Linked DNA regions of Neodiprion lecontei. The protein of the gene in region 1 interacts with the protein of each later gene in a pairwise test. Links are inferred from orthologs where the notes say so. Each region holds a gene or a part of one and is shown in the gene's direction. Other genes may lie near its edges.

Region 1 (4,648 bases):
AATAATCAGTTAAAATTTAACTTTCAGTCGTTGCGGTCAACATTTTGTCGATTAGAAACAACTCACCGGCTGACCCAGGCAAAAATAACCCTGAAGCGAGGAGCTGGAGCACTCGCTTGTAGGCTTGATTTATCGGCAGTGCTTGTCTGCTGGGATTATTCATGATTGCATTATGTGCCAGAAGATCTAGCATCCATGGTGACAGGGGTTCGAAACCCTCGAATCTGGTCCTCAAGTCTCTCAGCAATCTGATCAGTACTTTGATACTCGAGTGATGGGCATTTTCTTCGAACCATCGAGAGTGTCTGATAGCTGCTAGGTGCCCTGTAAAAAAAAAAAAAAAATTGAAACATGTTGAAACAAGGTTGATACTATTTTGCGAATTGAAAATAAAACTTGAATAGGTTTTTAAGCTTTGGTAACTATCTGAATTTTTTCTTGTGAAATTTTATCAAAAAGTCAAACGATCCGGGTGCAACACAATGTCGGTAAATACCTTGGCAGATTTTAACGTCAAGATGCTGCTCAGATTCCAATTTACGTAAGTTTTGATGCAAAGTAGTGATGAGGACACGAACAGTGGCCTCATTAGTTGAAAGATCAAATCCACGTTCCGTTTGAGTCAGCTTAAACGCCTCTTTAGGATTGCCCGCCTTCAAGTCTGTGTTTACTTTCGTGCCCAGCGCTTCAACCGCTGTTTTTGTAGGTAATGTTTTGAGGATAACAACGATGTCTGCTACATTGTGACCCTTGATCATTGTCCCTTTTTTGAAGCTCCCCACTTGTCTGACTTCCTCGAGTTGCTGTAAATGAAACGAATCCATCAATGTTCCTTCTCATTTTCGTTTCACTCGAAAAAAAAAAGAAAAACATAGCTTTAACTGTATTTACAGCCATTTTAAATTTGCTGTATACCCACACAAGCTTCGAAGGTTCCAGGTGCAACGATTAGATTATCCAGAACTCCTTGTAGCTTCGTAACGAGGTTCAAGATGGAATTCTGCTCTTTCGCTGTCGGACACATATCTGAATTTTTCTTCAGAAGTGCCGTAGTAAAGTCAGCCTCATCCGCAGCTGCCTTGACACGAGGAAACGCAGCCTCGCAAAGGGTGTAATCAAAGGGATGTCTGGGCAGGAACTGTTTCCTAGGAAATCCCATTCCACGCCCCATTCCTCCTCGACCACCTCTTATCATGCCGCCGCGAGCACCTCGAACCATATTAAGCCTGCAATGTCAGAACAAATCGAATGCATCGTTTAATCATTTCTGGAGTCGATGCATAGTTCACAAGATATTAAAAATTGGTGGGACGTGATTTCTGGCTCGATTGATGCTTGACGGCAATACGAGAGATAGATGAAATAAAAGAAATGTGCTGATGTGCTCTTTTAAGGTTTAATTTCACAATCGTTCAGAGCTCGCACGATTCTAATCAGGGTAATGTTTGGACTACGTATTGGCCAATCGCGTGTTGAGCGAGAGAGAAACCAATTATAACGAAAATATACCTCTCGTTTTCTCTCTCACTCACTCCTCGGCTAGACTTTCTGTACACGCAAAGCTACCTCCAGTAGTATATGCTCTAAGGTGCGAATGAACATTGAACGAAGAACCTAACCAAGCATAGCAGACTTACATTGCTGGAAGATCCAGGATCACCCTGAAAACAAATCGTATTCCGGTATTTCGTTACTCGGAGTGAGATGAGCTGTTATTTATTCTTCTAATCGAGTATTTATCGCGGTATTTATTCAATAATAACTTACCCTGGATAATTTATTTGAGCAATAGCCGACCTTAGTCCTCAGCGTGTGCTTAGCCGTGCTTAGCCGGTTTAACGATCCTGATGGCGTTTCATCTGAAGTCAACCGCGAGAGGCGCGAGAGCGCGAGTGTGCCGCGATTCGTGTCGCCATCTTGGATTCTACGTTCGAGATCGTTAACTTGAAAGTCGAAACTCTCCAGTTTCAGCCGTTCGAGCTTCAGGTTAGTGTATTGTTGCAAGGTAATCATGGCTTCGGAGCGGTACAGTTTTTCGCTGACTACGTTCAGGTAAGAACAGGGAATTTAACGTATTTCCTGTATTCTTGCGACCTTCAATCAATCAGTCTAACCGTTTCTGGAAAAATATTCAAAATTTTATCTTAGCCAGCAGTTTGAAAGTCCGTCAACTCGGTCCTAACCTAAAAACCACGTCAAGAATCGAAAAAGTTTCGTGTCAAACGAGTCTGAAACTTTATTCTCACCTAAGCAATATCAAACTTGTTTCAAATTTCTGTCTCAATCTCCATGGAAACTTGGAGTGAGCTTTATTGCATCCCATGTTTTGATCAAAGAATCTCCACTTTTTGTCCTGTCATTGTTACTCTACATCGTTTAAGGCTCAAATTTGATTGCGTCGACTATAAAACCTCATTATTCTTCACCATCATTTCAAAATTTTACATTTTTATTTTATACTTACAGCCCGTCGGGCAAGCTGGTGCAGATCGAGTATGCATTGGCTGCAGTATCAGCTGGGGCGCCTTCGGTTGGCATCAAGGCATCCAACGGAGTTGTTCTTGCCACTGAAAACAAGCACAAATCGATACTCTATGACGAACACAGTGTTAACAAGGTTGAAATGGTTACCAAGCATATTGGGATGATATATAGTGGAATGGGGCCTGACTATCGTCTACTTGTGAAGCAAGCTCGCAAAATCGCCCAGCAGTACTTGCTAGTGTACCAGGAACCAATTCCAACTGCGCAACTCGTTCAACGAGTAGCGATGCTCATGCAGGAGTACACGCAGTCAGGGTAAGATCAGAGTTTTCATGATTTCATATAATTAGCCGAAACTTGACTATAATTTCCAGCTGATATTTACTATGACCTCATGCAATTTAAACGGTTTTGAATGAATTTTATATGCTGTTTTTGACTTGATGTTTGGTATCAACGTTATAAACCATGAAAAGTAGACATTACCAAATTTAGATACAAGGTTTTAGCAAGCAGATGTGTGAGAAAAGTATATTTATGGAAAGAATTGTTGAAATCTGAAAGAGTTTGTCGTAAAATGGTTCTCGTTGGAAATTTCCATAATAGATTCATTGTTTGACATTTGTCAATCGAAGGGCATAAGACAAGTCGAAGAAAATTGCTTCACAAAGATTTAAAAGGAACCACGTGTAATGATTTACGCGTTATCTATTTTCGAGTAGCACAGAATAGACGAGGTTCCGCTTCACTTTTATGATTAAGAACAACCGGAAAGTTTAGGTGAGGGATTTAAATGAACGAGTCTGGTGTGCTGATGTTGGAATATGCCTTATGATTTATCGAACATGTGTCCGATTCGAAAGGTAAAGTCAGAATATCGTATGAAAGACGGACCAGGATTGCATCGAGAAATGAATAAAACAAAGTATGGGTGTGTGCAAAAAGCGGGGTGTGTAGGATCAAGGTTCCGGGAATAAGAAGCGGTAATCGGGTGTGTACAGGGTGTGCAAGGCTTGTATTGTTTGGCAAAATGGAGCGACTATTAGGTAGGAGGGATGAAAGTCGATGTATGAGTGAAATAGAACTGTGAAATAGTGCGGAGTACGTAACACATGCATAGTCACATTTTGGAACTGATTAAATAATGTCTGTGCAGAGGTGTACGTCCGTTCGGTGTTTCTCTGCTGATCTGCGGCTGGGACAACGACAAGCCGTACCTGTTCCAGTGCGATCCGTCGGGTGCTTATTACGCCTGGAAGGCAACCGCGATGGGAAAGAATCACATCAACGGTAAAACATTCCTGGAGAAGAGATACAGCGAAGATCTGGAGCTCGACGACGCCGTTCATACCGCTATTCTGACTTTGAAGGAAGGATTTGAGGGGCAAATGACCGCGGACAATATTGAAGTCGGCATTTGTGACGCCAATGGATTCAGGAGACTCCATCCGTCCAATGTCAAGGACTACCTTGCGAACATCCCCTAATTTTTTATTCTATCTACGTTTACTTTTTTTTTTTGTTTGTATTGTAATATCCATTAATTGAGTCGGCAATACGAATGTGCTCGCGAATAAAAAAATTTCTTGAAATAAACAAAAAAAAAAAAATGAATAAAAAATCGCTAGTGGATTTCTTACGTATGCCTTTTATATTAATTTGATTGAACAGTGTATATATCTTTTAATGTTTTAGGCATCTTACCACGAAGCAGATTTGTTTGAAATGATGTGTTCTTCCTATTTTCAGCCTCTTCTTTTTTCAAACCGACGACACTCTGTTATCGAATTTGCAATTAACGAAGTTGAATAAATACAGTCAAATTTAGTGTAAAAATTTAAGTTGTGGCATTTCGCCACGCGTGTTAGACGATTGCTATCTCTGACGCTCTCGCGTTTAATTTCGCGTGAGATTAGGTAAAGACCTGTTGGTTTCGTTTCCGTGTTTCTTTTTCATTTTTTTATTCAGTCATTTAAATTCTGGAATACCTGATTCGTAAGTGGCGGTCAAAGAACTCGTGTGAACTGCGGCAAAAATTAACAAGGCAATGACGCTCTGCGTGTGCACTTCGCTGTTCAATATTGAATCGGAATATCTAAGAGCTCTCCTCGAAACGTAATATTCGCGAGATGAAGTTTCGCCGCGAGGGGAGTGTAAAGTTGAC
Region 2 (7,735 bases), on another chromosome or scaffold:
GCTTCCTTCTTACGATCTGAACCTGCACGAAAATACTCCAATGTAAACGATGCACCACTTGACTAGCTAATTTACGATCCAGAAGTCTTTGCAAATTCATTCCACCAATCTTATTTTAAAAACACAAGCTATCTTGAGCATTGAGAGTATTGAAGAAAGCTAAGAAGTGTAAATTTTAGTAGCACTGAAAAAAGTCGTACTTGAGGTAGAACTCGGGCCTGGCTTCCCATGGATCACACCAGGTCGCTTGGAATCTGTAGCTTCACCTCTGGAACTTTTTGATCCAAGAGCAAACAAGTCTGCGGGATGCTGAGCTATTTTGCTCTTGGCCCCACGGCCTGTTCCAGTCTTTACGCGATCCATTTGCTCCTACGTTTTATGCAACGCATAAACTATTTATGCTCTTGATCGATAGTTGTATCTAGATATAGATGCACATCTATTTTAATGAAATAAATTATATTAAACCATTCAATTATACAAATGTATATAAGACAATGTTTATGGCGCTTGTTAAGAATGTAAAATTGGTAAGAATGTAATGAGATTAAGCAGGAGAAACAGGAAAATAGAACACAATTTTGAAGCAGTTATAACTTTATGCAGCAAGGAACTGCATAAAATTTGAGAGTAATCAGAAACGTGATACACATATCATTAAATATGGTTTACCGAAGAACGGAGTTCGCAATCTGCGATTGAAATTCTCGCCGCATCTCAACCTAACCTATACGGAGAAAGAAAAGCCGTTTGACACATAATTTAACAGGAAGACAACGTGTTTAATTTTTTGAACGATGAAGAAGCTTCCATGCTACCACTGTTCTTCTCAATATATTTTCTAATTGGAGTTTTCACTTAAATATTACATCAAAATACTTTTGATTTTCCCTTCCTCATTTTTGGAGTTCAAATCACTCGAAAACAGTTGTAGCGTCTGCGGTGCGACTGGGTGCAACACAACTGAATTAAGCGAATTTCTTGACGACTGCAGTAGTGCAGTGTGTATGCAATGCTGTATGCGGGTGCATTTTCACAGGCAGTAAAACGCCGCGGTAGCGAGCAACGCAACGAAGCGAAAAACTTCCCGTGAAAATGTGTCGACAGGGGCAGCACAACGCCGCCCGACAAGCGCAGCCTTTAGTTGATCGGGTAGTTTATCAGTGGATCTCATTTCCTTTGATATTCGCTTGCAATTCATAAGTCCTATAATTCCGACCCGTAGTTCTGACGTGTTCAGAAGGATGTTATTGTTGCCGGGTATCACAAAAAAACGCGTAAGAGAAGGCTAATTGGCACCATCGGAACCACGGGTCGGAACTACGGAACTCACGAATTGCAAGCGAATATCAACACAAATGAGATTCACTGATAAACCATGTGATCAGTTCACGGCTGCGCTTGTCGGGCAGCGTTTTATTGCCGCTGCCGATACATTTTCACGGAAAGCTCTTCACTTTCTGTAGCAGCGTGGCGCTGCTAGCTGCGATGGCATTAATTTACTGCCCGTGAAAATGCACCCTGTAACGGGTTCTCATCATAAAAGTCTATGGTTCTCAGGCTCTTTCAGGCTCTTTGGCTCTATGAAACGAATGATATGAGAGAGCGCCAACACTCACGGGACGCAAGCGACTCGCGCAGGCTGTTCTCTCTAGTTACAGTTTTATGGTGGCCCAGCATGCTGACGTGATCACTGATTCTCCTTCTAGATACTCTCTTCAGTTCGAAGCTTGATCGCATTCAGATTGCTGGGAAGGGAAAAAAAAAGAGAACAGAACTGTCTGCATTGCGGGTTCTATAGAAGCAGGAGCCTAAGTTTATCGTATTTATGTCAAAAAGTATGCCGGGCATGGTAAGTTGTTGCTTAAGATCTGTTAATTACACGTTAAATCGCTGAATTACGAACACAAAGGAACATCATACTTGCGATCATAAATCCTACGAGCGTTTGCTGCACAAAATAACGCACGCCCCTTCGGCGCAACTGAAACGTCAATAATCCTGATTACAGTCGCAGCTTATGTCACGTTGAATTTATTGAGCTATTAGTTCATTCCCGGATAAATAATTTCTTCGAAAATCACCTTCGTATTTGAAGCCTGATTCCGTAACTATCGCGCGCGACAAAAAAGGTTTTCTGTTTAATCTTTTTTTCTGATTAGTAAAAATGACGTTTATCACATCTAATTCATCCTTTCCTCACCTGCAGTCACGCCTCGTGACGATATTTGCTTAAATATACTTACTAGTCGAATTTCAGTCAAATAAATGAACCATGTGCAATGCACCAAGTGACTCTTATATCGTTATACCATTTCCTCACCGCCAAATATTATTTATTTGAATCAGTTTGACAGTGTGTGACATGTATTTTAGAATATTTATAAATAGCTACTCAAACTGTCCGACCAGCTGGCATAATTTCTATTTAAAATTCCCAAACTTGTGGGTGTACATATAAAATCAATGTTCTGCGAATTCTGAACCCAATCAATTTTACTTTCATCATTAAATCTTATCTAATCTTTACCTAAGTTCACTGTCGCTCAGCGATTTCAACTTGAATTTTATAACCTTGGCCATAGCTTCTCGTTTATTTTGTCTGATTTATTGTTACTAACAATATTACATTTTTCATAGATAATGAAAGCGATCAAGTGTCCTACCGACGAGCTCAGCCTCTCCAACTGTGCTGTGATAAATCGTGATGATTTTCCAGATGATATAAAGTGAGTAGTTTGCCTACGATTTGCTTAAATTATGCTTGAATTAATTATTACAGCAATCAAAGAAAGCTGGTGTAGTAATAACAATGAAGTTTTAATTATTACTTAATTATTTTTTGAAAAATCAAGTTTGTTTGGAATTGTATTGAAAAAAACTTGATACATGGCAGTACAACTGAAGATCCAAAATTTTCTGAAACTCGTTTCACTTTCTTCATTTCCTCTGTTTTGCTGATGATCTATAAACCAAATAGTTTATTGTCAATCCCTCATTTCTAGCAATGGTTCTGTCATTAATCAGGATATTTGAATTGTCCGCAAACGAAGTACAATCTCACTACACCTTCTTTTTACCACAATTGTCAAATGTAATCTAATTCGGATTCGATTCGCAAGATTTAACAATGTGTATTGTCTCAGGCACATCGAAGTTACTACAGGTCCAAATCAGCATTTCGTTTTCACGGTAAAGACCCATCATGACATACCTCGTGGAACAGTCGGCTTCAGCTTGCCTCAACGTAAATGGGCAACACTGTCCCTCAATCAGGACATCGAAGTTCGTCCTTATCACTTTGACCCAACATCGAGCTCTGAATTCCTCTGCACAATCGTCGTCGAAGCCGACTTCCTGCAAAAGAAAACGTGAGTATTAGAAATAATGAAACTTACAGCTTTAGGTTTAACTTTTTTCAAAAGCAAACCATGGATAAATCAATGGAATTGAATGAAACTATTTTTCAGAACGACACTGGAGCCATATGACACGGAACTAATGGCGAAGGAATTTCTGCTGCAGTTCTCAGGCCAAGCATTTACAGTCGGGCAGCAGTTGGCATTCCAATTTCAAGATAAAAAGATGCTTGGACTTGTGATCAAAAGTTTGGAGGCAGCCGACATTGCAGCTATAAAATCAGGGCAGGACGCAAAGCCAAGAAAGACAAAAATGGGACGATGCCTAGGTGATACGATGATCCAATTTGAAAAAGCTGAGAATTCGAGCTTGAATTTAACTGGAAAAGCTAAGGGAAGAGTTGTTCGACAATCGATCATCAATCCTGACTGGGATTTCCAGAAAATGGGAATCGGTGGCTTGGACAAAGAGTTCAATGCCATATTCCGTCGAGCCTTTGCATCACGAGTATTTCCTCCTGAAGTCGTCGAGCAGCTTGGATGTAAGCACGTGAAAGGAATTCTTTTATACGGGCCGCCAGGTACCGGTAAAACTTTGATGGCTCGGCAGATAGGAACAATGTTAAACGCGAGGGAACCCAAGATCGTTAACGGGCCGCAGATCCTGGATAAATACGTTGGTGAGAGTGAAGCGAATATCCGAAGACTGTTCGCTGATGCTGAAGACGAAGAAAAACGGGTATGTTCCTCATATTTGTAACAATTTTTCAGGAAATCAATAGAAGATACAGGTTTGACCTCACGAATTCTACTTAATCTTTCAGCTGGGGCCAAACAGTGGACTGCACATAATAATCTTTGACGAAATCGATGCTATCTGCAAATCTCGTGGTAGCGTCGCTGGAAATACCGGCGTTCACGACACTGTTGTCAACCAGTTGCTTGCGAAGATTGATGGTGTGGAGCAGCTAAACAACATTCTTGTCATCGGGATGACGAACAGGAGAGACATGATTGACGAGGCTCTGTTGAGACCTGGCAGATTGGAGGTGAGAGGGATGCAAGTTGCTGATTGTAGAAGCGGACTTTTTAAGGTTCACTCTTCTTTCCATAAACCGTAAATTTTGTTTGACCATTATCAGGTTCAAATGGAAATTGGCTTGCCGAATGAACATGGTAGATATCAAATCGTGAACATTCACACGTCCAGAATGCGAGATTACAAGAAGATTGCACCTGATGTGGACCTGAAAGAACTGGCAACTCTGACAAAAAATTTTAGTGGTGCAGAATTGGAAGGTTTGGTAAGAGCTGCGCAGAGCACGGCTATGAACAGGCTAATCAAGGCGTCAAGCAAGGTAGAAGTCGATCCTGCAGCAATGGAGAAGCTCATGGTCGGCAGGAGCGATTTTCTTCACGCGTTGGAAAATGACATCAAACCTGTGAGTAAAAACGTTAAGAACATGCAATTTTGATTGTACTCTGTACACTGTTCAAATTATTGCCGCAAAAAATGGATTTTTTTGTATAGTTGAACAAAATTTACAGGCATTTGGTACTAGCGCTGATGCGTTGGATCATTTGTTAACACGTGGAATTATCAACTGGGGTCGGCCAGTTGCAGAGATACTTGCAGACGGTTCACTTTATATTCAGCAAGCTCGTGCTTCCGAAGGTTCTGGTCTCGTTTCCGTTCTATTGGAGGGACCGCCAAACAGTGGCAAGACTGCACTTGCTGCACGCATAGCGAAAAACTCCGACTTCCCATTCGTCAAAGTTTGCACACCGGAAGACATGGTGGGCTACACCGAATCTGCAAAGTGTCTGTCCATTCGAAAGGTGCATTTTTACTCACGATATTATCATGCATTTTGGATCCCAATCAAATTCAAATTGAAAGTATTGTGAGATGTCAAAATAAATAGTTGTTTGCAAAAAGTTGTACCTTTGCTATAAAATTTCAGATCTTCGACGACGCATATCGTTCACAACTCAGTTGTATTTTGGTCGACAACATCGAACGGCTTCTGGATTATGGTCCAATTGGTCCACGATACTCGAATTTAACTCTCCAAGCGCTGTTGGTGCTTCTAAAGAAGGAACCTCCGCGTGGTCGCAAGCTGCTCATCTTATGCACAACGAGTCGCAGGTTTGAAATCTGAAAAAACAAGCTGAACGAGTAGCAATAAATTGTAGGTGGTTAAATATAATCAATAATCTATCTAACATTTCAAATTGTAGAGGTGTAATGGAAGATATGGAGATGCTGTCGGCATTCAGCACTGTTCTTCATGTACCCAACTTGTCGACTTCTGATCATCTTCTGGCTGTATTGGAAGAGGCGGATCTTTTCTCAAAGGAAGAACTTTCGTCTCTGCACGCTAAACTCCAAGGTCATCGGTAAGATCAGATATATAAATTATATTGCACATGGTTATTTTCATATAAAAAATTTATACAATACAATAATGAAATTTTGTATCGATTCATCATTACAGCATATTCATCGGTATCAAGAAGTTGTTGGGTCTTATCGACATGGCAAGACAAACAGAAGCTAATTACAGGGTGCCAAAGTTCTTGTCGAAGTTAGAAGAGGAGGGTGGCCTAGAGTAGATGGGTAAACTTAGGCGAGAAATTTAAATTATTATTAGGCTAAGCAAATCATTATTATTGTAATTAGCGAATTTAGATGAAAACTCATGCTAATATGCTTTCTGTAGATTAGCACTTGGCACTAATCTATTAATAAAATCCGAATCTCGGAGACGTACGATATTTACTAATCACGGAATTCTCATCCTTCGTTAGTTCGTCTGTTCACAGAAATCTACATAATTAAAATGTAATATAGCATTCCAGAGAATTTCGTAATCTCTCACTGAGATGTATTTATTTATACCAATGTTAGCATGGGTGTTGCATAAGCTAGCGTAACGCATTGTTTGAAAAGTTTTATTAATTATTGATATGATGCCCCGTACTTTGTTGTTATCAATCGCATTTTGATTGATTAAATCGCGTATATCGATATAATCAATTTTTTGCGCTATTTGTTGTTACACGATGCCTCCAATGATGGAAAATATTGTAATTAGACTCGATTTTAGTCATAATGTTGAAATCGTTAGTCGGTTGTCAAACACCGAGGAAATCTTAATTGTTGAAAACTTACATTTTTTGTTCATTGTTTAACCATAACTAGAGCAAAGTATTAATTATAGCTCGTTCTTGCGCAGGACTTGAGACTAGGATATTTTTATGCATTGTCTCGCTGTTGTGTTTGACAACAACAAACGCGAGACAATATACTGAAGAGAATATATTATATTAATGATAATTATGTATTTAAATATATATATATGAAGCATATTATATAGATGAACGTTAGAAAAGACTTGATAATCTATGTAGTGTGAATTTCTGTAAAATACTGCCGTAACGCAGACTGCTTCTGTCATCAACTTTTAAACCGTAAATATCTTCGTCTTTGTAGGAATAAGTTATTCGAGTACTGTACGTTGTATTACATGCTTTTAACTACAACCTTCAAAGCGATCGTCCGAAATTGTTATCGATTCTTCGGTGTACCTTCCAGTAATAATTAGCCTAAACATAACTTGGTAGGAAAGTAACTTGAAAGAAACTTCTTCTTTAATATTATACACTTGTTGATTTTTGCTACTTCATTAAAAACTTTTGAAAAACTTGATATAAATTGATTTTCTCGACATTGTACGTATCTAATATCTCACACTTGAACAATACGTAATCTATGTAATTATTTTTTTGTACTTTACCTTATATTCTCGATGAATTGATACTTTGCTTATTTAAAAATTGTGTAATCGGTAAGAACGCATGTGCCTGAAATGTACGTACAGATCATGTATTTTCGAGTGAACAGAAAGCTTCTGTCAATTACAAGCAGAACTTTCGGCGTATAAGAAAGTGCAAAGCGAGTTTCTATACTATTTCAGTTTTGCCGTTTTCTTCCAATTCACGTATCCAATTGTTAACGGAAACAAATTTAATAGTATAGCATTGGGACTGAAGACATGAAATGATTCATTTAGCAACTTGTCTTTACGCCTGTCTCTGGAACAAAAGCAGTTTCGAATATTTTTGAAAGCTATAAATGTAGTTTTCACGTTCAAAACCACCTTGGTTACAGTAATTGAATTTGAGTCTAAGGTACGAAAAAGATAAAGTCTGTACAAAACTAATGATACAGACTTGCCAATATTCAATAACTTCCTTCTTACTATGCAGCCATAGTATTTTTTGAACTGATTATTTTACCGTATAATCATTCCAGATTTTTTAAATATTGAATATTTTTTTATAACCCATGTACGTACTTTGTTACATTTTAC

Evidence for each region. The genes of interacting proteins can lie anywhere in the genome.
Region 2: the proteins of proteasome subunit alpha type-2 (region 1) and vesicle-fusing ATPase 1 interact in binary tests that used the Caenorhabditis elegans proteins (3 or more experiments, as listed by UniProt). The link is inferred for Neodiprion lecontei from reciprocal best matches to the Caenorhabditis elegans genes pas-2 and nsf-1.

Annotation. Positions count from the first base shown.
Region 1 is NC_060265.1:26,830,326-26,834,973, reverse strand, and holds proteasome subunit alpha type-2, read left to right. Parts: upstream 1-1,916; 5' UTR 1,917-2,011; coding exon 2,012-2,052; intron 2,053-2,466; coding exon 2,467-2,799; intron 2,800-3,640; coding exon 3,641-3,971; 3' UTR 3,972-4,123; downstream 4,124-4,648. Other genes in the region: interleukin enhancer-binding factor 2, read right to left, coding at 67-324, 497-803, 920-1,226, 1,638-1,639. UniProt on the Caenorhabditis elegans protein: The proteasome is a multicatalytic proteinase complex which is characterized by its ability to cleave peptides with Arg, Phe, Tyr, Leu, and Glu adjacent to the leaving group at neutral or slightly basic pH.
Region 2 is NC_060263.1:39,940,409-39,948,143, forward strand, and holds the start of vesicle-fusing ATPase 1, read left to right. Parts: upstream 1-1,693; 5' UTR 1,694-1,828; coding exon 1,829-1,852; intron 1,853-2,640; coding exon 2,641-2,729; intron 2,730-3,146; coding exon 3,147-3,371; intron 3,372-3,470; coding exon 3,471-4,098; intron 4,099-4,183; coding exon 4,184-4,408; intron 4,409-4,501; coding exon 4,502-4,801; intron 4,802-4,907; coding exon 4,908-5,198; intron 5,199-5,323; coding exon 5,324-5,508; intron 5,509-5,600; coding exon 5,601-5,759; intron 5,760-5,857; coding exon 5,858-5,975; 3' UTR 5,976-7,735. Other genes in the region: integrator complex subunit 1, read right to left, coding at 1-22, 201-363. UniProt on the Caenorhabditis elegans protein: Required for vesicle-mediated transport. Catalyzes the fusion of transport vesicles within the Golgi cisternae. Is also required for transport from the endoplasmic reticulum to the Golgi stack.